Linked DNA regions of Schizosaccharomyces pombe. Changing the gene in region 3 together with the main gene of any one other region gives a genetic interaction. Each region holds a gene or a part of one and is shown on either strand. Other genes may lie near its edges.

The links.
Region 1: mutations in swi3 (region 3) and rik1 impair growth when combined (synthetic growth defect), as found in Schizosaccharomyces pombe (2 studies listed by BioGRID, with this or other methods).
Region 2: mutations in swi3 (region 3) and rad26 impair growth when combined (synthetic growth defect), as found in Schizosaccharomyces pombe (3 studies listed by BioGRID, with this or other methods).

Annotation. Positions count from the first base shown.
Region 1 is NC_003421.2:1,465,055-1,474,254, forward strand, and holds rik1 (CLRC ubiquitin ligase complex WD repeat protein Rik1), read left to right. Parts: upstream 1-2,827; 5' UTR 2,828-3,119; coding exon 3,120-6,242; 3' UTR 6,243-6,726; coding exon of another isoform or gene 6,727-6,759; 3' UTR 6,760-6,802; downstream 6,803-9,200. Other genes in the region: translation initiation factor eIF2B alpha subunit Gcn3, read right to left, coding at 1-7, 104-546, 602-741, 799-952; SPOM_SPCC11E10.09C (alpha-amylase-like protein), read right to left, coding at 6,727-6,759, 6,803-7,246, 7,313-8,272. UniProt on the Schizosaccharomyces pombe protein: Component of the Clr4 methyltransferase complex (ClrC) which contributes to the establishment of heterochromatin by specifically methylating histone H3 to form H3K9me.
Region 2 is NC_003424.3:4,447,575-4,455,711, forward strand, and holds rad26 (ATR checkpoint kinase regulatory subunit Rad26), read left to right. Parts: upstream 1-3,030; 5' UTR 3,031-3,271; intron 3,272-3,351; 5' UTR 3,352-3,540; coding exon 3,541-4,290; exon of another isoform or gene 4,291-4,345; coding exon 4,346-5,011; intron 5,012-5,066; coding exon 5,067-5,495; 3' UTR 5,496-5,795; downstream 5,796-8,137. Other genes in the region: GTPase Ypt2, read right to left, coding at 1,341-1,943; atd1 (aldehyde dehydrogenase), read right to left, coding at 5,986-7,497.
Region 3 is NC_003423.3:3,089,458-3,095,630, reverse strand, and holds swi3 (replication fork protection complex subunit Swi3), read left to right. Parts: upstream 1-3,774; 5' UTR 3,775-4,103; coding exon 4,104-4,270; exon of another isoform or gene 4,271-4,328; coding exon 4,329-4,707; 3' UTR 4,708-4,772; downstream 4,773-6,173. Other genes in the region: zuo1 (zuotin), read left to right, coding at 1-637; ncb2 (transcription corepressor), read left to right, coding at 1,296-1,338, 1,378-1,820; isn1 (IMP 5'-nucleotidase), read right to left, coding at 2,232-2,318, 2,369-3,291, 3,341-3,548; SPOM_SPBC30D10.05C (sepiapterin reductase), read right to left, coding at 4,891-5,634; chaperone protein Mzm1, read right to left, coding at 5,997-6,173. UniProt on the Schizosaccharomyces pombe protein: Forms a fork protection complex (FPC) with swi1. FPC coordinates leading and lagging strand synthesis and moves with the replication fork. It is required for programmed fork-pausing which is necessary for mating-type switching.

The DNA.
Region 1 (9,200 bases), on a different chromosome or scaffold from region 3:
TTTATGACTAAAAAACGTTAGTACAAATTTTAAAATTAACAGGGAAATGGAGAGATCATAGGGAAAAATAATTGTAAGCTGAATGGATTCAACGTTTACGTACCTTTCTGCAACTGCGTAAAAGGGCTTATGTGCATGTTTGGCAAAAACGGCAAGTTGGAAAGTACCGATTTGATTAATGAGTCCTCCGTTTTCGACAACACCTTCTGCGCCAACCAAGACCAAATCTACACGGTTCATAGTAAAGCTTACAGCGGAATCCAAAACCATGCAAGTAGGAATACAAGCATTTTTTAATGTTCTCGTCATTAGACAGCCTGAGCCGCTAGGTCTTGATTCTGTGACAAAAACTTTGAAACGAACGTGACGCTTGGCAGCAGCCAAAAGAACAGCCGCAACACCGCGTGAAAACCCATGGGTAAGAATAACACTACCATCTCGAATAAGAGGGTAACCTAAATGTGCAATTCTTTGTCGACAAGCACGAGCACGCTGAATAAAGAGTTTTCCATTTTCTACCAAGTGACGTTTGCATTGCTCAAAATCCTAAAGCCGTGGAGAATTAGTAAAGAAAAGAAAACTACTTTGCATCAACACATACCCCGACATCGTGTAGTGATCGAGTGACAAACCGTTGGAAAATGTCACAACCAGCTGAAAGCGAAATGTTGTTTTGAACGCCTTCCTTCAGCGTATTTGAGCCATTTTGTAAAATGTCCATAAATTCTGAAATTGTCTTGGCTAATAGAAAAACATCAGTAAATTCATTTCTCACATGAGTACTACAAATTAACATACCTTGAGAGCGCGACAAAAGCTGGACTAAAGCCTCAATGGCGGCTACAGGCATCGTGATTTCTGGATCATCTTGCAAAAATTTTTTGTAAACCTGGACGATGTCAAATTCTCCTTGAGAATGTCGAACGATTCCCGAAGAATCCGATTCCACCATATTCGCAGATGCTAGACGCTCTTGCTTAGTAGCAACATCTTTTCCATACTTTAAGGATATCCAACAAAATCAAATAACGGGCAATGCCTTTTTGTATTAAATTGTAAGCTACGCAATTTGGTATCTGATTTAAGGATACGTAGAACTGCGGTGAGTTTTCCTTGTGATCTATTATATTACAATACACAGGTTGTATAAGTAGCAACTGAGTATAGGTATTGTATTAACTGAGTTATAATGTTACCTATCACTAATATAGCTCATAACTGAACTGAGGAACGAGGTTCAGCAGTAGCTCTATTTATATTATTCAGATAATATAGATCTTAATAGATTATCATTAAGATCAATCTCAATATCGTATCATACATGGTACGATATATAATTAGAACATGTGACATATAGTGATACGCAACGTAGATGATGCGATGTCGAGATTGATATTGATAATACTATATTAACAGATAGATTATTTGGATAGAATCGATAGAGATACAACTAAACCTCATTTCGCAGTTCAGTTATAAGTGATAGGTGACATTATAACCTAAATAGTACAATACCAGTACTTAGTCATTACTTATATAACCCGGCTATTATAATATAATGGATCATATGCAAAATTCACCAGTTTTTCGTATCGTTAAAGCAGATACCAAACTGCGTAGCTGACATTATACGGCGTTTTGGATACTGATCTACAGATATGTTCCTATAGATATTTATGTAGGTGATTTGAATGGTATTTACATATAAATTGGTTTATTAAATAGCTTATATTTAATTAAAGCTAAATATTGAGAATAATTTTAATATCATATTCTTGACTGAGTACATCTGAGGATAATCATGAAATTCTTCCTCGGTGATCAGTAAACAATGCTTGACTGTTGATTTCCAATATGTAACGTTCAACGATACTTATCATTGTATAGATAGTGAATTTGTAGTATAATTTACTATGTTCCTAATAGTTGAGCGTATCATGAACGAAATATGTCAAAACGCTTCCATTTTAAAAAAAAAGGAGTACTGATGAAAGCAGTAATTGGATTTGGTAAAAAGTAATATAGAAAGTTTTTTAAAAAACTATTTTATGTTTAAGAGACCTTTCAAAAGTTCATGACCATTTCTACGAGAAACTAATCTTTAGTCCAACCTTCGTAAATCTCGCTTATATTAAGCTTGATTTTACTTCGGTATTTATGGATGACGCGAACACTAAACTGGTATAGAAAAAACGCTATTACTTTCAGCATCTAAAGAAAATCATTTATGATAATTTCTATGCTTTCAATTATATCTAAATATTTACATGCTCAATCATTCAAAGCGATGCTACAAAAATATTATGTTTTAGTTGTCGACTCGAATTTCAGTAAAATCCTAACTTTATTGCTAGACATCCGTAGGTTTTCATTTATGCTATAAATCTGTGAATCACCTCGTGATCGGCAAGTTGTTAAAATAATCTTTTAAGTAACTCTAATACCATGCACTATAGTAAAGAAGGTATATATTTCTTTGCGTGCCTAGTTCTTGTTTTCAATAGCAATAGTCGTTATCTCCCATAGCTTTTAATTCTGCTCATCGATGAGAGTAACATATTCCAATATCTTCTCTACATTATCAAATCGTTTTGCAATTATAAAAATATCAATAGCTTTCGATTTCCCCCAATATGGCTAATGCTAAAATTTATAACATTGATGTAGAATTTGGCTTAGTTAAGATGCAAGTTGAAAATGTCTTATGTTTTATGATTATCAGAAAATGTTTTGTGTAGTATCTGATATTAAAAAATGCATATCAACTTTTACAATAAATTCGCTTGCGCAAAATGTATAGAGACTGCATATCTCGTTTCTTCTCCCTGCGGAGTGCCTGTAACTGGCGTCTTGCACTTTCATTCAAAATCGAAATTTTTTGGTAAGGATTTGATAGAGATTGTCACTTGGTAGCATATTTTTTCTATCTTGAATTCCTTTTTCTAGGCTTTTGTGGCTCTTGGCCGTCCACTCTTTATTTTTGTATTCAACTGTTTTTTAATCACATAAGTCTAGTCATAATCTTTTGAACCAACTCAAAGCTTCTTTTTTTTATTTTTTTCTTTGTTAAAAAAAGTCTTTATTCCTTTTATTATATCAGTTTATGGATTTCATCGTGTATGGCTTTATGTGTTCATTCCTTCTGGGCAACGGCGGTAGACACAGCGACTTCATGTCATTTTATATCATCTGAAAACTGCTTAGTTTTATTACAAGCCTTAAAAATTAATATTTATCTCTGTAGTGAGGTTCATGGCTTACAATTCTTTACCTCTATCCCTTTATTTTCTACGGTGAAACATATACGCCCATATCGCCCTCCAGGATTAGATAGAGACTATTTATTTGTAGTTCTCAATGATGATACTTATTTTTCGATTTATTGGGACGAGGATTATCAAAAAGTGATCGTCGACCATCCTCCAGTTCGCTATCGAGTTACATTTCCTTGGAATCGCAACGCGAAAAGCTACTGCCTTGTCGACTTAAGGATGCGTGCTATTTTTTTAAGCATTGACGAAATTTCCATGATATGTATTAGAATCCTTTCTGCCGAAGAACGGTTGAAAACTGGCCGTTCTATAGATAGCGGATTTCCTTTTTCTTTTCCAGTGCATCTCATATATGATATGTGCATTCTCAATGATTCCAGTACCCCAACTCTTGTGGTCCTTCACAGCGATGGCTTAGATTGTTATGTAACAGCTTTTCTTTTAGATTTAAGCTCAAAAAGTTTGGGAAAGGGGATTAGACTATTTGAGCGGGTTAAACCGTCAATGATCATGCCCTTTGGAAAAAGAGGTTTGCTGGTTTTTGAGAGTTTGTTTATTCATTGCATGTATCGCGGTAATTTTGTTACAATCAATGGTCCTTGTACTACTTATATGCATTGGACTCCTTTGAAAGGGCAAAAGATGCATTATATTGTTTGTGATACTAATGGATATCTTTTCGGAGTATATTCGAGTATCTTGGGAAAAAACAAATGGAGCTTGGTTATGGAAAGACTACCAATCCCACCTTTCGACTTTATTACTTCTCTAAATTCCATCCATGAGGGACTCTTGTTTATCGGAAGCAAAAATTCGGAATCTAAACTTATTAACCTGTCTACTTTGAAGGATGTTGACTCAATACCCAACTTAGGACCCATTCATGATTTACTAGTACTCAAAAACGACATTGAAAAAAGTTTCCTTGTATGCGCAGGAACACCAAGAAACGCTTCTTTAATTTATTTTCAACATGCTCTGAAATTAGATATTTTAGGGCAGACGAAAATCTCGGGCATCCTTCGAGCTATGGTCCTACCATCATATCCAGAGCATAAGCTCTTCCTCGGGTTTCCTAGTGAAACTGTTGCTTTTAATATCAAAGAAGATTTCCAGTTAGAGCTAGACCCATCTCTATCAACCAAAGAAAGGACGATTGCGCTTTCAGGGACGAATGGTGAGTTTGTACAAGTCACATCTACTTTTCTTTGTATCTACGATTCTGCAAAGCGCTCTCGTTTAGTTTATATTGAAAAAATCACGAACGCTGCTTGCTATCAAGAATACTCCGCAATCGTTATCAATGGAACAGCATTGGCAATATTTAAAAAAGATACAGAAGTTGCACGAAAAGTTTTTGAAAGTGAAATTTCTTGCCTTGATTTTTCAGCGCAATTTCAAATAGGAGTTGGATTTTGGTCTAAGCAGGTGATGATACTTACATTCTCAGATAATTCGTCAATTAGCTGCGCCTTTCAAACCAACGTTCCATCATTGCCCAGAAATATTATTTTAGAAGGAGTTGGTGTTGACAGAAATCTTCTTTTAGTTTCTAGCGGAAGTGGTGAATTTAAATCTTATGTACTTTTCAAAAATAATCTGGTATTCTCTGAAACAAAACATTTCGGTACAACCCCTGTATCGTTTAGGAGATTTACGATGAATATTGGTACCTATATCATATGCAACAATGACTGTCCACACATGGTATATGGGTTTAATGGAGCACTATGTTATATGCCGCTTAGTATGCCTCAAAGTTATGATGTGTGTCAGTTTCGTGATAACTCAGGGAAGGATTTTCTCATTTCTGTATCATTAGGGGGCTTGAAATTCCTTCAACTTAATCCATTGCCAGAATTGACCCCAAGAAAAGTACTTTTGGAGCATGTTCCGTTACAAGCCATTATTTTTCAAAATAAACTGTTGCTTAGAACACTCGAGAATAGATATGAAGATTACGAAAGTTACAAGGAAAATTATCACTTGGAGTTGGTCGATAGTTATGATGATAATTCGTTCAGGGTTTTTTCTTTTACCGAAAATGAACGTTGTGAGAAAGTTTTGAAGATTAATGAGAGTTCTTTACTTGTAGGAACAAGCATTATAGAACAAGATAAGTTGGTGCCGGTAAATGGAAGATTAATTTTGTTAGAGTTTGAAAAGGAGCTTCAGTCTTTGAAGGTAGTTTCGTCTATGGTACTATCTGCGGCCGTGATAGATCTGGGGGTATATAATGATCGATACATCGTTGCATTTGGGCAACAAGTTGCAATCGTTAAACTTACCGAGGAAAGGCTTATGATAGATTCTAGGATATCACTAGGTTCTATAGTTTTACAACTCATCGTAGAGGGTAACGAGATTGCTATAGCGGACAGTATTGGACGTTTTACGATTATGTACTTCGATGGCCAAAAGTTTATTGTCGTTGCCAGATACCTTTTTGGAGAAAACATTGTGAAAGCAGCATTATATGAAGGAACAGTTTATATAATAGCAACTAATAGTGGCTTGCTAAAACTTCTTCGTTATAACAAAGATGCAAAAAACTTTAATGACAGATTCATTTGTGAAAGTGTGTACCATCTGCATGATAAAGTTAGCAAATTTCAAAATTTCCCAATAACAAATACCAATTCGTTTTTAGAGCCAAAAATGCTTTTTGCAACGGAAATTGGTGCTATTGGGAGTATAGTATCATTAAAAGATAAGGAGCTAGAACTGGAGGAACTTACAAGAAAAATTCGAAAATTAAAATTTTCATACTTGTCATCTATGGACTACGAAAGTATAGAAGCAGACCTCATTTCTCCAGTCCCGTTTATTGATGGAGACTTGGTTATCGATGTCAAAAGATGGGCATCTTCAGAACTTTTCCGATTATGCAGAAGTGTAGAACATAGGGAATCACTCAATTCTTACCAAAAAGTTCAAGCCCTCCTTGAGGAAATACAAAGTTTATGTTAAACGTATTATTGCCTTTTTGCTCTGAGTTATTATCTTACACTTTATGGATCATTGCAAATTTGGAAGTTTGGTTCTAGGACTGTATTATGCATTTGTGAGTAATACAAAAAAAATCTTTTGATTTATAATTATAAGTCACAAGCTGTCGCAACATGGCACTGATAAATACAAGTACATAAAGCTTGGTTAAAAAGTTATCAGTCTCAATTTCTTTCGTAAAATCTTCTTCGAAATTCAAGATATTTGTCATAATTGTTGCATCGCTCATCTATCTAAGACGAGATGACATATATTCTGGATTTCAATAATTAAAATGAAACTATTAAATTTCATATGACAGAAACTGAGCACTTCAACTGGCATAAAAGCTCAAAGGAATTTTTTAAGCTAAAAAATTAAAAAAAAACTTTCTCCATTTGGCGATCACGTGTTGCCAAGTATTTTTGGAGTGTAATTAAACTGGAGAAACTCTAGTGTAATTTCTCTATAGGAAGCTAGGGTCAGAGGAAATTAGGATCTTAAAAATTGTTAGTAGAATAAAACATGAACTAAATGCTTACCTTTGGCAAGCCACTTTTTGATTTGATCTTCAGTTTATGGTCTTTACAGGGGATGGTTTTCTGAGTAAGAATATCTGTAAAACTTGAAGGCACTTCTTTCCAGTGTTCTTTCAAATCTATTTCAACTTTAAACGACGAGGTAGAGCCTTCATTGCTTATGGCTATAATGACTCCTGGACGAGTAAATACATAAACTGAATCGTCAATGTATAGTTGAAAAGATAGCACGTATGTAAACTCTGGGTAGGTCTCAACCAAATTTTGACGCGTGCGTATCATTGAAGAAAGATGTCTAAACATTGGATTGGAAGTATTGTATTTACTTTTCCAAAGACCTTCTCTGTTGTCAGGATCGCTACCACCGTCAAACATCTGTTCTTGTCCATAATAGATAATTGGAATACCGTCCATGAAAATAAGTGCAGTTAATGCGTTAAGAGCCAGCTAAATAAATGTTAAAATATATAAAAAATGCAGGTACTAAATTGAAATATTGTTCAATAGACTTACGGCGATGTCTTTGGTTTCATGAAAAAAGCGAGGAAAATCATGATTTTCCAAAAAGTTACACAAGACGGTAACATCTTTGAAGTAATGTCGAACATCAAGTACGGCCTTATCATAAAATGAAAACATAGAATGTTTGGGGTCAAGAAAGGTTTCCCGCAATTGAAAAAATAAAGGGAAATTTAAAGTCGAAGGGAGATATTTTTGATAATCCCCGACGACTTTAGGATCTCCATGAAAAACTTCTCCTGTAGTAAATACATTAGCTGCTTCAATAAATGTTGGGAAGAAGGATTTTTCGACATGTTTGGCTGTGTCCAATCTGATACCATCAAATTGATAACGTTTAATTAGATCAGAAACCCAATTTTGAAAAAATTTGCGAACTTCATTCTTTTCGGTTCGAATGTCTGGTAGGTTCACATGTGAATCTCCTAACCAACCTGTAATTGTCTCATGGGGATCATCGTAATTTTGTACAAACTGCCAGTTGTGATAATACTTCCCAGAGTTAAATGGTTGATAAAGTAAGAAGTTTACGGGTTTGCTTCCGGCATGACCCATATGGTTGACAACTATGTCAACCATGCAAAGCATATTTTTCTCATGAATTGCATTGACTAGTTCTTTCAAATCTTCTTCTGTCCCAAAATTCTCGTTTAACTGAGTCATATCTTGTGCCCAATACCCATGATATGCCTGACCACAATCCGTAGTCTCAGATATGTTTTTAACTATTGGGCTAATCCATATTGCCGTACATCCCAGACTTTTAATGTAATCAAGGTTACGAGTAATACCCTTCCATGTACCCCCAAGGTAAAGATTTCCGCTAGCTTTTGCATAAAAATTATCCTCATCCAAAGCAAATCTGTCCGTTAATACCTGGTATATAACTTGCTTTCGCCATAATTTAAGGTAGGAAGGTTCTTTTTTCGGCAGAATGGAGCAGATTAGATTCATAGTCCCTTTTCGTCAAGTAAACAACATTCACTGGTAACTGTCTCGTTTACAATGCAGCTTTAAATCAAGCCTTCAGCTACGCCTTCGTCTGGATCGCTTCTTCAGCCTTGCTTACTGATCAACAAAGAGTCTTCTTCTCGAAATCTTCCCTTTCAGTACAAATTTAAAAAAGTATCCGAGATTCGTACAGAATTTGTTTTACTTTTCAAAAAGGGACGTTTGCTAAAACCGACACTCTCACTTAAAGGTTATAGTCTTTTGGCTGCTTTTATTAAGAGCCAAAAATATAGTAAGAATATTGAAATACAGAGGGTCTTAAATACTCCGCCTTTCGGTTCCGACGATTGCGGCTTTTTTTTTTTAATTTCAACGCTTTTCGGCTTTTGTTTACATTCAACTTGTACTAAACAAAACAAGTTAACACATTATAAGGCATGCATCGTTAAGTAAATAGTAACGATGGTAGTTGGAAAAGGTGTATGTGCTGGGTTTGTTGACATTTCAAACCTACTGCAAATGCGCATGTAAAGCAGAGAAAAACAGTGTTTTATACTGCGTAAATATTCTTAAACTCGCTTGTAGTTTGTTAACTGACATTATATTTGATTTAGTTATTTTCTGTATGCTTTTCTTCACTTGGTAATAACAGAAATGAAAAAATGTATTCAAAATACAGCATTATTGTCAAAAGAAGACGAAAACTCAAAAATTTTTTTAAGTTAAAAGACAATGGAAAATGGAAGCACTCCATTTTCCATTTTCACGCTGTCTGTAATTCACCAATCCATCGTAATGATGGAAGCTTGAACAAGCTAGTTAATTGTTATGTATGTTTTTCCTCATACATTGGAAGTTAGACTATGAATAGAAATAATAACTGGACTATACCTCTTTAGAAACAAATACAACAAAAAGCAAAAAGAATAAA
Region 2 (8,137 bases), on a different chromosome or scaffold from region 3:
GTGTACCAACGTAAATATTTTAAAGATAGTATCGTTAATTTTCACTATAGTAGCTCTTTGAGTTGGTTTTTTTCGAATTTATTATTTTCTGAACCCGTGGCTATTGCTCACTACACTACTCCATTTTACGGTATGCTTCGCTACATTTTTTGTTCTTAAGTTTTATATTTGTCACCCAAAACGGAAATGTATTCGTAATTTTTAATATATCCTAAAATGAAAATATTATAAATTGAATCAAATTTCCTGCGTTTCATATTTCAATTATCAGCTATCAGCTGGTAATTGTACATTAAGTCCAACCTGACTATCGATATATATATAATTGCATATCGTTAAATTGTCATGAAAAGAAAATAGTAAAATCCCAAGTTGAGACTTACCGCAAAGTAACACATCGTTATCTTGGTTAGCAATTGCGTAGTTAACAAAAACGTAAACAAACAAGAGTATGAGTATGCCAAATTACTCTACATTGCTGAAATCGTTTTAATCTTGGCAATAATCTGGTACATCGACTTTCATATAGTAATACGTTGTTTAAAAAGATTAAGATGCTGAAGTGGTAATCTTGGAAAGGCTTCTGTTGTGGTCTCGTTGCAAGATAAAAATAAAATAAAATCTACAATGTAACAAGGTAAGTAGTCATCTTACGTTTAAATGAAGATGAAGATAAGGCAATTAAAATATGTAAAAGATAGGCGTTAAAAGACGTTTCGATTGATGACAACCTAATCAAATCGGTATAACATGATGAAAAATGTAAACTTGGTTCAGTGGCCCAAACATTTAAAACAATAGGCAGCAGCCGTAAAAAATAAATGAGGTAGATCAACAGGACGAATTAGATGGTGCTTGATTGCTCGTTGCAAATTGATAAAAGGATTCGCGAGAAACATTGGAAAATGGCCCCAAGAAAAAGCAAAGGCATTACTTTTTGAAATGTTAAGGAAATTGCAATGAAAAAAGAGACGTTGAAAAAAAAAACATGGGAATTGATTATATTCCAAAATGTAAACTCGATCTAATCACAACAACTCGAAAGCATATCAAAAGTTGATTGAAGCTATTAGGCATAAATTTTACGTTATGAAAGCATTAAAAAGTAAGAGAAAGTGTACAATATAGAGAAATATTATAAACTTCCCAACCGGGTAGAGTTGAAAAGAGTAAGGAAACAAAGTAGCAATCCGGAAACGATAACCAACACAAGATATAAAAAGCAATGCCAATCTCCACTCCTTCAAGCTCTCCACACACTTCACGACTATATACGTATCGGCGGTGCTAATATCAAAAACTAGCGAAAAAGAAAATGTGACAAGATAATAATAAGGAGCCTAACAACACCTCTTCACCGTACGATCGTTTCCGAGGTCAACGTTATTTGCCTGGTTGGAAAATTCGTTTTCTGCATCAATCTTTTGTTTTTTTATTTCCCGGGCAAGGGTAAAAAATGCCTCATCTACATTGACGTTCGTCTTCGCACTAGCTTCTAAAAATTTAACGCCCAGCTCATCGGCTAACGCTTGTCCCTGTTCAAAGGAGACCTGACGCTGATCCTCACAATCACATTTATTTCCAATAAGGATTTTATAAACATTTTCACTAGCATGTTGTTCAACGTTACTAAACCAAGTTCGGACGTTATCAAATGATTTTTTATCAGTTACATCGTATAACAATAAAATACCCATTGCACCACGATAATAAGCAGTGGTAATGGTACGGAAACGTTCCTGGCCAGCAGTGTCCCAAATTTGGAGTTTGATACGTTTTCCATCTAGTTCAATCGTGCGAATCTTGAAATCAATTCCAATCGTTGTGATAAAAGAAGGGGTAAACGAGTCTTCCGAAAATCTCAGAAGAAGACATGATTTTCCCACACCTGAATCTCCTATGAGAAGTAATTTGATTAAATAATCGTAGGATTTTGTAGACATGGAGGAGTGTTGCTTTTGCCAGGTGGTAAGTGGTAGAATCTACTGGAGTCCCTTGAGATAATGCCGCAAAAATACACTTAAATTTATTAATTCAAGTAATGTTATTGTATAAATGGTACTAGTTTTATTTAAGTCTTTGTTTGTGTTTTTTTATGTTGAAAAAACATGACTTTCAACTTTTTTATGTACGTTTCCTAAGGGCAATAAACTCGAAGTTTTGATAAAGGAAGTCACTATTCTAGGGCACATACATACACTCTTGAGAAAGTAACAAAGATATTCACAAGAGAAATAATTCAGATTTCATGTCAGAGAAAAATCTCTGTCACTAAACAATTTACTAGCCATGGATTAATTTATACGATTTGAATGACTGGTAATATGACTAATATAGTACTGCATTGATCAATTTAATCAATGTTTATATGACTGTCATTGACCTAAACATACTTATAATTAACGCTTTAAGTGTTTTGGTTTAGATTTTTCCTTTTTATTTTTGATAATATAGTAAATGGATGGGGGAGAAACAATGAACTTAACGTTAATTCATATGATCATCATTTTAGGCTTTGTCATTGTTGTTCGAGTTGAAACAATAAACCGTTTAAACCAGCATAAACTATAAAATGTTCTACGATTAGGAGTTGGACTGTCTGAAAATAAATAACTTTTAAATTTTTCGAGGTTATGAGTATTCAATAGAGATTGAAATTAATAATTTCTACAATAAAACAAAATAACAAATTATTTCATTTTATCCATTGATATATTTGGTTAGACTACAATTCGATCTTACTTTTTTAATAATATTTTCATTTTTTTAATTCTTTTATGTTTATTAATTCGAATAAATGATGGAAGCCATTTGTCATAACACCTTAATTTAAGTATAAAAAATATTTTTCTCATGTTTTATTTTTAAAAGCATTCAAACATCATACACTTATTTTATTTATTTTTTATTATTGACAATTCAAATACTTGATTTTTGGCTAATAGTGATTTACAGTACTTGAGGTCTTATTGTCGATTACGTAACTCGTAAAACTTCAAGTTGGCTATTCGATTGCTAACCAAAATGCACTAATACGCCAAGTTCAACAAGTAAATTAAAGATCACAAGAAATACTCATAGCAGTTAAACGTATCGTTAAAGCATCTTATATAGCTGCGCATTTTGGAAAAGACTATCTTATTTATCATATCTGTTGGTGCTCTGCAAAATCAATTCATATTGCTACAAGGGTTCAATTATTCATACAGGAAGTTACGCGATTAAGCAGCCTTAGTGACTGCAGTCATATTCTGCTATTAGTGTTTCGTTTGTATGTGGTATTCATACTAGAAAGAGATATGGTTTTTCGGCCTTATCTTCTCTGCATAATATTGCTTACTAACTGTTAAGGTTTTCCAATTGCTGAATTACGATAATTACAGTTACCAAGGTTGCTGAAAGTATTTGAAACAATTTACGATTTATTATGAATTCAATTCTTTTTTACAGAATAAGAAAAACATTGGGCCCATATTACAATTTGGAATCACTTCAAACAACTATTGTTACGCATAAACGAGAGTGAAAGCTACAAACAAAATGATGGCTGATGAAAGTTTTGACTTGGAGAGTTTGGGTTCGGATGAAATATTTGAAGGCGTGAATTTAGATGAATTAGAGCAACAAGCTCAAACCCAGGTTCAAGCTCAAAGTTCTCAAGTAGTTGTACCGAGTGAAAAGCAAAAGCAAAATTTAAATCTTCCAAATTCATACACCAATTCTTCTCAAAAAGTCCGGGAATCTACCGTAAACTCACAAGCCTCATTATCCTCTAATGACCTTCGAACAGAACTTTTAATTAAGTCGGGAGAAAATGCAATTCTTCGTGCTAACCTTCTAAAACAATCCGAAGCTAATAATGCCGCCCTAGAATCGTTAAATAATTCTATAAAGCAAAAGCAAGATGAATACCAACGGAAATTAGAGGAGCTTAAAAAAGAAATTGAATACGCAAAAACGAAATCCCTATTTCATGAGCGTGAAGCACAGGATGCTATCGAAACTATGAAAAAAATGAAAAGAGATGTAAAGAATTCTCCGATTATGAAAAAATCCCATGAAGAAGATGGTGACAATAAATTGTTATCTTCTTCTGATCAGCTTGCTAAGAGCACAAAGCATGCTGCAAAAAACAGCCCTTCTAAAAAGAAGCGCAAAACAAGTGTTGCTACTGCTGAAGATGCTTCAACGGATAGTGTGAGTTCTAGTATTGCTATATCAGATGCAAGTTTGTCTTTGAGCCTGATGAAAGATTTACTTTCTCTACAAAAAAGAGAAGATTTGTATTTTGTAAGTATTTTTAAACTGTCGTGTTAAATTTTATTCCCTTTTCTTACTTTTCTAGTCTTCTAGAACTTTAGCATACGTATTTGGTGGTTGTATGCATTCATTAGAAACAATTGAAGGAGAGGAGGAAGGTGAATGTTTGTTTAATAACTTGAAAGCTCTAATATACAGTCCCGATCTATCTATGGATTCCTCCAATTATGTACAATCTGTCGTTCAAACATCATCGTCGATTTTAAATTATTCAATGAAAAAATTATTATATAATGCCTCCTTTGCTATAACATCTTTGTTTAATGCATTATTAATTTTGGACCCTAAATCATCCACCTTTATCTTTCAGGAAAATGTCGTTTCTTTAATAAGTGGTTTTCTTCTTAAGGAATACGAAAAAAGCAATTTTTTGGACTCAAAGTTTTACGTTTTAATAGATTTTCTTTATTTATACTTATCTATAGCACGTGAAAGTGCTGATGACTTTGCAAACATTACTAAAGCGGTTGATCCGTCGTTATTCGAATCCTGCATTCGAGTGCAAAATGCTCCTTCTTTGATTAAATGTGGTGTTTGTTTAATTATTAGTTCCACCACTCCTTCGTTTTGCGCTTCAGTTAACTTGTTAAATGCCGATGATAAATCCCAAGAATCACTCATGCAACTTTTCACAACTATGGCCCATATTTTAGTTGTTACTACTAGGGAAAGGATTAATTTTCCTGAATTGGTACGTTTACGAATTGTGCTTATAATCTTTGCATTGCTTATTTCTAACAAATTAGAATGAATGGATAACGCTTCATCGCTTTGTCATATCCTTTTTTACCGTGTTTATACAAATGTCTGGAAACATTGGTAAAGAGATTTTAAAAGTATGCAATCCCTTAATAGTATGCATCGGACTAGCCATCACTTGGTATCATCAGCAACTCCTTTCGTCAATGTACCCTCAAAATGAATGCGTAGAGATTTTAGTATCTCTTGTTCGGCTTCTGTACATTTTATCTTCCGAAGATTTATCATCAAAATTTATGTTAGCTGAAAATGCGTTACAACCTCGTTTCGTTTATGCAATAGCATGCTGCGCATTCGGCGATACTGAACAAAAAGCGTTTGGCAATTTGGGTGAGGAAATGTATTTTCTCACTACAGAATTGTTGGAAGTTTGCGTCTCTCCCGAAGAGCTGGAGCAGTTGTACACTAATTTTTAGATAATGAAACAGATGAATCTATTTCCCTAATTTTTCAAATGAAATAATGATACTTGTTTCTTCAGTGTTGTTCTTTCCCGTCCCGCACCCACATCCTCGCAAATTAAATACAAATCAATCTGTTTCCCCAAAGGAATGCGTACCACAAAAACATCCCCATTCCGTTCTTTTAGTAAAACTTACGGCTATATTTACCTGCAAATAAAATCATCTAGCAATTAACGAAAATGAATATATTAAAGTACCACTAACATAAAGAATCATCACTATGTAAATTCAATAAAATGCATTTGAAAGTTCAAATATCAAAACCGTTTTGATTCATAATAAAGAAAATCCGTCATAGAAGAGTTTCAAGAAAAACTGTAAACATTCATAACATAAAGAGAAAAATCCAATAATTCTCTTCACTAGAGTTTTTCTTCATTCTTTATCCATTGAATGCATATTTTTTTATTTTTTTTACAAAAAATATTTGCGTCTGATTTCCTTAAATGGGAGAATCCATTCCCAGGTTGATGTGAACAGCTTTTGTTTGAGTATAATTGGTAAGACCGTAAGAGCCCAATTCGCGACCGATGCCACTCTCCTTATAACCACCAAAGGGAATTTGGTGATGAAGTAAGTTATAACAATTCACCCAAACAGTACCGGCTTCAAGAGCATTGCTGACCTTGATGGCATTGGTAATATTGTTAGTGTGTACACCAGCAGCTAAACCATATGTACTGTTGTTACCGCGACGGATGGCCTCCTCGATGGTCTTGAATTTAATGACGGCAAGAACGGGTCCAAAAATTTCCTCCTTACCGACAGCCATGTCCTCGGTAACGTTGGAGAGAATAGTAGGTTCGACAAAGTAACCGAGATTACCATGACGCTTACCACCAATCTCTAATTTGGCACCATGAGCAATGCCACTCTCAATATAACTAACAATACGTTCATACTGTTGCTTACTAACTTGAGCACCTTGGAAGGTATCTTCGGCGAAAGGATCACCAACCTTCAAAGTCTTGGCCTTGGCAACCATGCGTTTAATGAACTCATCGTAAACATCCTCTTGCACGTAGACACGGCTACCTGCACAACAGACTTGACCAGAGTTGTAAAAGATACCATAGTTAGTCCAGACAGCAGCTGAGTCCAAATCGGCATCGTTGAAAACAATATTGGGAGACTTACCACCCAATTCAAGAGTGACCTTCTTCAGGTTGGAGGAGGCGGCAGCACGCATAACCATACGACCGACACCGGTAGAACCGGTAAAGGCCACCTTATCAATGTCCATGTGAGAACTAATAGCGTTACCACAACGGCGACCATCACCGCTGAGAACATTGATGACACCTGGAGGGAAGCCACATTCAGGAACAAACTTGGTAAGACACAGAGCGGAAAGAGGAGTGAGTTCGGCAGTCTTCAAAATAATAGTATTACCACAAGCGACGGCAGGAGCAATTTTCCAAGCGCACATCAAGAAAGGGAAATTCCAGGGGATGATTTGACCACATACACCAATGGGTTCGTGACGAGTATAGGCAAAACGCTTAATGTCGGTTTCAATGGTTTGACCATAATCCTTATCGGCCCAACCACCATAATAACGGAAACAATCGGCAGCAGCTTGAACGTCACCTCTAGCCAAAGTGATACTCTTACCATTGTCAAGAGTCTCAATAGAAGCGAGGTATTCCAAGTTTTGCTCGATACAGTCAGCGAGACGGGAGAGGCAACGTCCACGTTGAGCGCTGGAAAACTTGCGCCATGGAGCATCGGTCTGGAAAGCGGCACGAGCAACTTTCACGGCGATATCGACATCCTCTTCGTCGGCGTCAGCTACCTCACAAATAAGTTTCTCAGTAGAAGGAGAGTAAACCTTCACACGACCACCGTGAACGGAATCGACATGTTGGTTATTGATAAAGAGACCGACAGGTTGAATGTAAGTTTTTCCTGTAGGAACGGTAATTTCGACGTGATCAACGAGTTTTGTAGACATTTTGAAAAGTTTGTATTAAAAAATTGAGAAAAGGGGTCGTTGTCGTAAATGAGTAAGAGTAATTAAAAAATTAACTAGAAAAAAAAAAAAACCAAAGATAAAAAATGAAGTAGTGGGATAAATTTGGCAGAGCTGAATTGAAATGCAAACACAGGACAAAACCAAAAGATCAGTAATGAAATGGAAAATATGAGGTGTTAACGATTGTATAAAATAATTTTATATCAACCAAAGTAAACAACGTCGTCAAAAAGTTATGGGCGAAACCAAACTATAAGTAAAAGAGCACCTAATACGAAAAGATTAGATGGTCAGAAAAGGACCGGGGTAAATAAACAATGGCCTCTTATTATTCTTAAGAAGAGGGGGATGCAGTTTTTATAAAATGTGATAAAAACCGAAAGACGACAAAATCAATGAATTAAAACAATCAATTGTCGTTGTTAGTAATAATACCACAAAGGAAACCTATATCAATTTGGATGTAGGAAGTGAAGGAAAGACTATAGATAGAGGAATATACTAATAAGAGAATAGCAAGCGTGTTGTAGAAACGAAAAGACCGTGCTGTTCTACTTATTTCAGTGAACTGCAAAGGGGGGCGAATTCAATATTTATAGTAAAAATCATATATGACTTA
Region 3 (6,173 bases):
CTTTGAATATTTAGACAAGGATATCCCTGATGATGGTGAATCTCGTGATAACAAGCGTTTTCAGGAGAAGAAGAATCGTTCGGAACGTCAAAAGAATAAGGCTCGTGATAATGCACGCCTACGTAACCTTGTTGATACTGCATTGGCTTCTGATCCTCGTATTAAGCTTTTCAAAGAACAAGAAAAGGCTGCTAAGGCTGCTCGTAAATGGGAACGTGAGGCTGGTGCACGTGAAGCTGCTGCTGCTGCACAGAAAAAGAAAGAAGAAGAAGAACGTCGTGCTGCTGAAGAAGCTGCTGCTAAAGCCTCTGCTGCTGCTGCTAACAAAAAGGCTAAGGAGGATAAAAAGAAGGCCCAAAAGCGTGATAAAAAGGTTGTCAAGAACGCTCTCAAAGACTTCAACTATTTTAGTGCAACTGACGTTCCTTCAGCTGAGCATGTTGACAGTGTGTTAAAAGACGTTGATGTTATCATGTCCAAGTTAGGTGAAGGAGAACTTGGACAATTAGCTGCTGACATCAATGCTGAGAAAGCTGCCGGTGCTGCTTCTGTCCAAGCTGTTTTTGACAAATTTGCCAAAATGTTTATTGAACGTGGATCCATGTCATCAGCCGACGTTGTTTTCTTTGCTCAGTAAGTTCATAACAAAAAAGGTATTGGGTTTAGCGTGAGTTTAGAAATCAAATTTGGTGCCATCTTTGTTTACCCACTTTCATTTATACATCTTGAAATGTGTGTTTTTTTTGATACCATAGAATAAAATATTTACCATTCCTTTCTTCTATTATTTGCTATGCTCAGTAATGTATTTTAAAGATTTTAGATTCTTTGAAGTTCTGAAACTTCTATCAATATGCTGATCATTCTATGAGAACTTCAGAGTATCGGGTTTAATTAGCCGGAATTGCTCGAAAATAATTCATTAAATTTTTTTTCATTTATTTTGTAGTGCTCTGATACCCTGTCGTAATTTTGGATTTTCAAAGCACAAGAATAAGCCGTAATCAAATCCATGTCTTTTTTAAATTATTCTGCAAGTATAATCGAGTTGTGAAATTGCCGTCTAATATACTTATAAAATCATTTTTGTCATTCTTTGCTGAATAGAACGAGTCTACCAATACTGCATTCCAGTGTACTCTACGAATATCTTCTTGGACGAAAATATATATATGTGTATGTATAACAAAGCATGCAACGAATCTATACTAGTTTGAGTATTACACAAACCTGCATTCTCTAAAATCGTTTTGCATTACTGAAACGAACGAAATTAGGAATAAAAATTTTGCATAATGAATGATGGTTTCGCGGACGATGAATTGTCCCTTCCCAAAGGTAAAAGAATTGCAATCCATATTTACTAATAATGTGTAGCCACCGTTCAGAAAATGGTTTCCGACATACTTCCAGTGGACTTGACTTTTACGAAGGAAGCTAGAGATTTACTGATAGAGTGCTGTGTGGAGTTCATACATCTTGTTTCTAGTGAAGCTAATGAAATATGCGAAAAGGAGGCAAAAAAAACTATAGCCGCTGAACACATTATTAAAGCTTTAGAGAATTTGGAATTCAAGGAATATATTGCTGAAGCTTTGGAAGTGGCGGCAGAGCATAAAGAACAACAAAAGAATCGTGAGAAGAAAAGTAGCAAATTTGAACAATCCGGTGTATCAAGAGATGAGTTATTGAGACAACAAGAAGAGCTATTAAGCCGAGCCCGTGAGCGTTTTAAAAATCAAAATATTGCTCACGATAATCATACGACAACCGCCATTCCTGTTCCTACCGCATCAGAGACCGAAACAAAAGAAAATTGAGCTAGATGTATTTATGGATATTAAAAATCCGGAATTTGTTTAGAATTTGCTTCTATGGCAAATTATCGTTCATGTCTTAAAGTTACTCTGAAAACTAATCAAGTACATACTGTATCTTTCTTTGAGTTATCACTATTTTTGTCTTCATTTATTTAGAGTTTTTATGATGTGAAATTCATGTATTCAGATTTAATGCTATTCCAAATCTTACATTGCATAATGCGCTATTAAAATTAGCAAAGAAATTGATATCAAAAATCAAAGATTAACAATGTATTGAACGATCATATATCTTTTGATGTCAAAACGCTTATATGGGTATTCATTTTATAAGTATAGTATAGCATTGCTGAAGTATAAGAAGAATATTTACGAATGTGTTTGCAGTATAAGATCTCTCCTCTAATTAAATTACTTTTTTAAAAAAGAGAAATAATAATCTAAAAACTCAATCGTCTCGTGGGGGCTGGATACCCAAACAGTGGTAGCAGCAGCTCTCTTTGAATAGGTGGTTAGTAATCTTCAACAAAAGTTTATTTCAAACTTACCGCTTTATAATCATTGTTACCAGCTGACAAGAATTGATCACCAACATGCAGACAGCGAGAAGGATGGGAAATATTAAAAAAATGCTGAAGGCATAAAACACCCAATTTCTTGTCACCAATATCACACCAAATATCATTTCCACCATTGAAAGCAGTAAAAGGAACTGAGAAATTTCGTATCTGCAACGTTGCTTGTGTCTCCAAAACAGCTTCCTCCAGTTGCTCCCTTCTCAGTTTTTGACCAAGGGAAGGTACAAATCCAACTGATCTTTCTTTACGAACTATTTTTGCATCAATGTTAAGTCCTTGAATGCAAGAACGAAGAGTTTCTTCAGCAGTATCCAAAATTTCGAGAATCTCATCATGAGGCCATGTTTTCATCACGGGAAGCATCCATGAGTCAGCATCCACCCATTGTAAACCATGCAGTGGGTCATAAGCAAATAAGTAATTGCTCTCGCCTCCTAATACATGAAGTTTCCGTTTCTGCCCATCCTTCAAGTCGCTGTCTTCGATTGCCTGCAATAATCCTGAAAATCTATCAGTATACTCCTGGCCAGTACGACTGGGATAGCCAGCAGCAGTAAGAATGATGACATAGATCCCCCTCGAAAGTAACTGAATCAAACGGGATATAACAGGATTGTCAGGAAGCAAAGGCTGCCCATCTTCGTACAGAGTTACATCTCCATCAAAACTGACCATATCCAAGCCATTATCCGCAAGGTAATTCAATTGAGCACCTCCTAATATTGCCCTGACATCGTTAAAACTCGGTGCCACAAAGCTTCGTTTAGCTAGACAAAGCTTTGGTTCCAACGCGTACATAGCTTTCACTAATGGCAAAGGTGTCCAAAATATGGTGATCGATGGAACAAGCATCTTTAACTGGCTATAGGATCCACCTTCTGAAACTATTTGAACTATCAATGAGAAAGGTTAGAAAATTAAAAGAATGAAGGGGAAACTTACTATGAGCCTCAATAAGTTTTTCCACATCTCTTAAAATTACAGCGTAACGCTCAAGCGTTTCCTGCTCTTTTTCGCGCGTTACTAGTTTCTGTGAAGGGGTTCCTGCCTGTAAAACAAAAGGAACTGACAACAAACCTTTAATCCATTCAATAAAATCGTCCTTCCGATGTTGCTTTAACGCATACTCAACACGATATCTAGAAGCCATTGCCTAAACCTTTAATGACAAACACTTATTCAAAAAAAGAAATCTACACGAATGCAAGAAATTTGAAGGAAAGTATGTTAATTGAAAGAGAAAGGGTAAAAGTTGCTTTATTATGCTTTCCGAAACGATTCAAAAATGATTACGTTGAGAATTGTTATACTAGTATTAGCAGCGAGCACTATCACTCAAATACGTCTATCACAATTCCAAAAATTAGCTATAATTTATGAGCATTCTTAACAAAATTTTATAAAAGTATATAGTCCAGGTGTAACATGAGCCTTCTGAACTATTCTTCCTCTACACATTTCTAATCCGCGTTAAATAAGGAATTTTCTTTCATTAGTAAATTATAAACCTTTCTTGCTGCGCAGTTAAATTTGAAAGGTTCTATTCGCTTTTCATTAGCAGTAAAGTCAATAGTACATAGAAAAATTGCTAGATTAACAGAACTTTTGAAGCGAAACAGCAAGCAAATCGATATTTATTGCATTCACTAACTCTCTTTTGCGAAACATACAAGCAAATATATATTTTAAAAAAACACCATAAGAAATGTCTACAGCTGCTTCTGATTCAGGTGTTGAAAAACTCGTCGAGGAAAACAAAAGGGAAGAGGTGAAAAAGAATGAAGAAGAAAAAGAATTTGATTTAGGGTTAGAAGAAAATCCAGATTCTGTAAAAAAACCTCGCAAACGGTTGGCAAAATTTGATGAAGAAAGGTAAGAATTTGGTCGGTTTTCGGAAAATAATTATTGACCACTCGTTTTCCCTATTTAGATTGATTTCTGAAAATGGAATTCCAAAATTAAGGAAAATGATGCGCAAAGTTAAGTTAAAAGGAAAGGGTCATGAGGCAAAAGACTTAAAACAACTATTGGGAATGTATCATATATGGACTCATGAGTTATATCCAAGAGCCACGTTTGATGACTCAATATCGTATCTTAAAACTCTAGGAAAACACAGATCCGTCAAGGTTCGACGTCGTGGTTGGATTAATGAAATTGCTGTTGAAAATGGTTCGGACTCTAATGCTTCATTATTTACTGGTCCATCTTCCAATTCATTAGTGAATTTGACGAGCGGAGATCCATATGTTCAAGATACAGCTGATGATGCTTTTGTCGCCCAAGACAACGATACCCAATTAGAATAGTCACCATTAATGAATGATTGAGATGTTGTTGCAGCTTTGTTTATCAATATTAGTAATCATGATCATTTTTTGGGACTATTTTCAGCTACTTTTATTTGATGTAATGTTTAATTTATTCATTTTGTTTTATTTAAACGAACAATTGTAGCCTCTAACTCCGAAATTCAATAAACTATAGAACATCTAGACAAATGATTTCCATTCTACGAATTGACCAGTAAGCTTTGGATTGTTATTCAAGGCTAGAAAAGAAAGAGCTTTGGCGATGTCCTGAGGAGCCACAAGTTGACCGGATGTTTTAAGTTCTTTGAAAAAATTATGAGTATCTCCACCCATGGCTTCTTTATTGGAATCATTACGGATACTAACTTGCATAGGGGTATCAACAACTCCCGGACGTACTGCCACACTCATTATATCAGGCTCCTCGCTGCCAAGGTTCATGACTAGCATGTTGATGGCGGCCTTTGAGCAACAATATGCAGCCCACGCGGGAAAAACACGAACAGCAGCGCCAGAGGATACAATCACAATAGTACCCTTGGTTTTACGCAAATGCGGGATTGCATACTTCACTGTTTCAACCACACTGAAAAAGTTGATATCAAACAACTTACGCCATTCATTGATATCTGCATCAGCGATTTTGGCTATAGGTTCAAGGACACCTGCATTTAGAATAACCGAGTCCAATTTTCCAAACTTTTTAATAGCAGTTTCGATACTAGCTTTTCCAACCTCCGTAACGTCACCCTTCACGTGAACAAATGAGTCAGGATTTTGAATAAGCAAAGTTTCTAGTTCTGGGGTCAAGGACCTACTAACAGCAATAACCTTGGCCTTCTTCTGTAGAGCTTCTGCAGTAGCCAATCCAATACCCTTAGAGGATCCAGTCAACAAAATAACTTTTTCAGCGGTTTCGGCCATAATGCTTTTATAGAAATTTATAGAAATGTAGGGTGTGAATTACTTTAGTGTAAAGCCAGATTGTGGAACTGAGGAAATATGTTAGCTATGCTATGATTTATATCATGATGCCAAGATAACGAGGTTCCGTATAATCACAATAAAGTAACCGATATAATCTTAATTTTGCTTATTTATTCACGAAAGGAATTGTTATATGGTATTAAAAAACGAAAGTAATGAAGTGCAAATACAAAACAAGCTTGCCATTCCCTTTATTTTTGTTAATGGTCAAACATTACTAAAACAGAAAAAATAAATATGAGTATGAAAACAACATACTTTATTGTATTAATAGAGCTTGATGCAGTAATTTCAAAAAATTACCGAGGAAACTTTTTTTCAGTAAATTGTCTGTTTGTATTAATTTCAGTTGTCTTTCGAATTTTCAAAGAATAGGTATCGTTGGATTGCTTTTCAGCTTGAACGACGTTCCTTCTAAGGATTTCCGCAACAGCATTACCATTTTGGATTTCTTTTTTTGCTTCTTCTGGAGAACA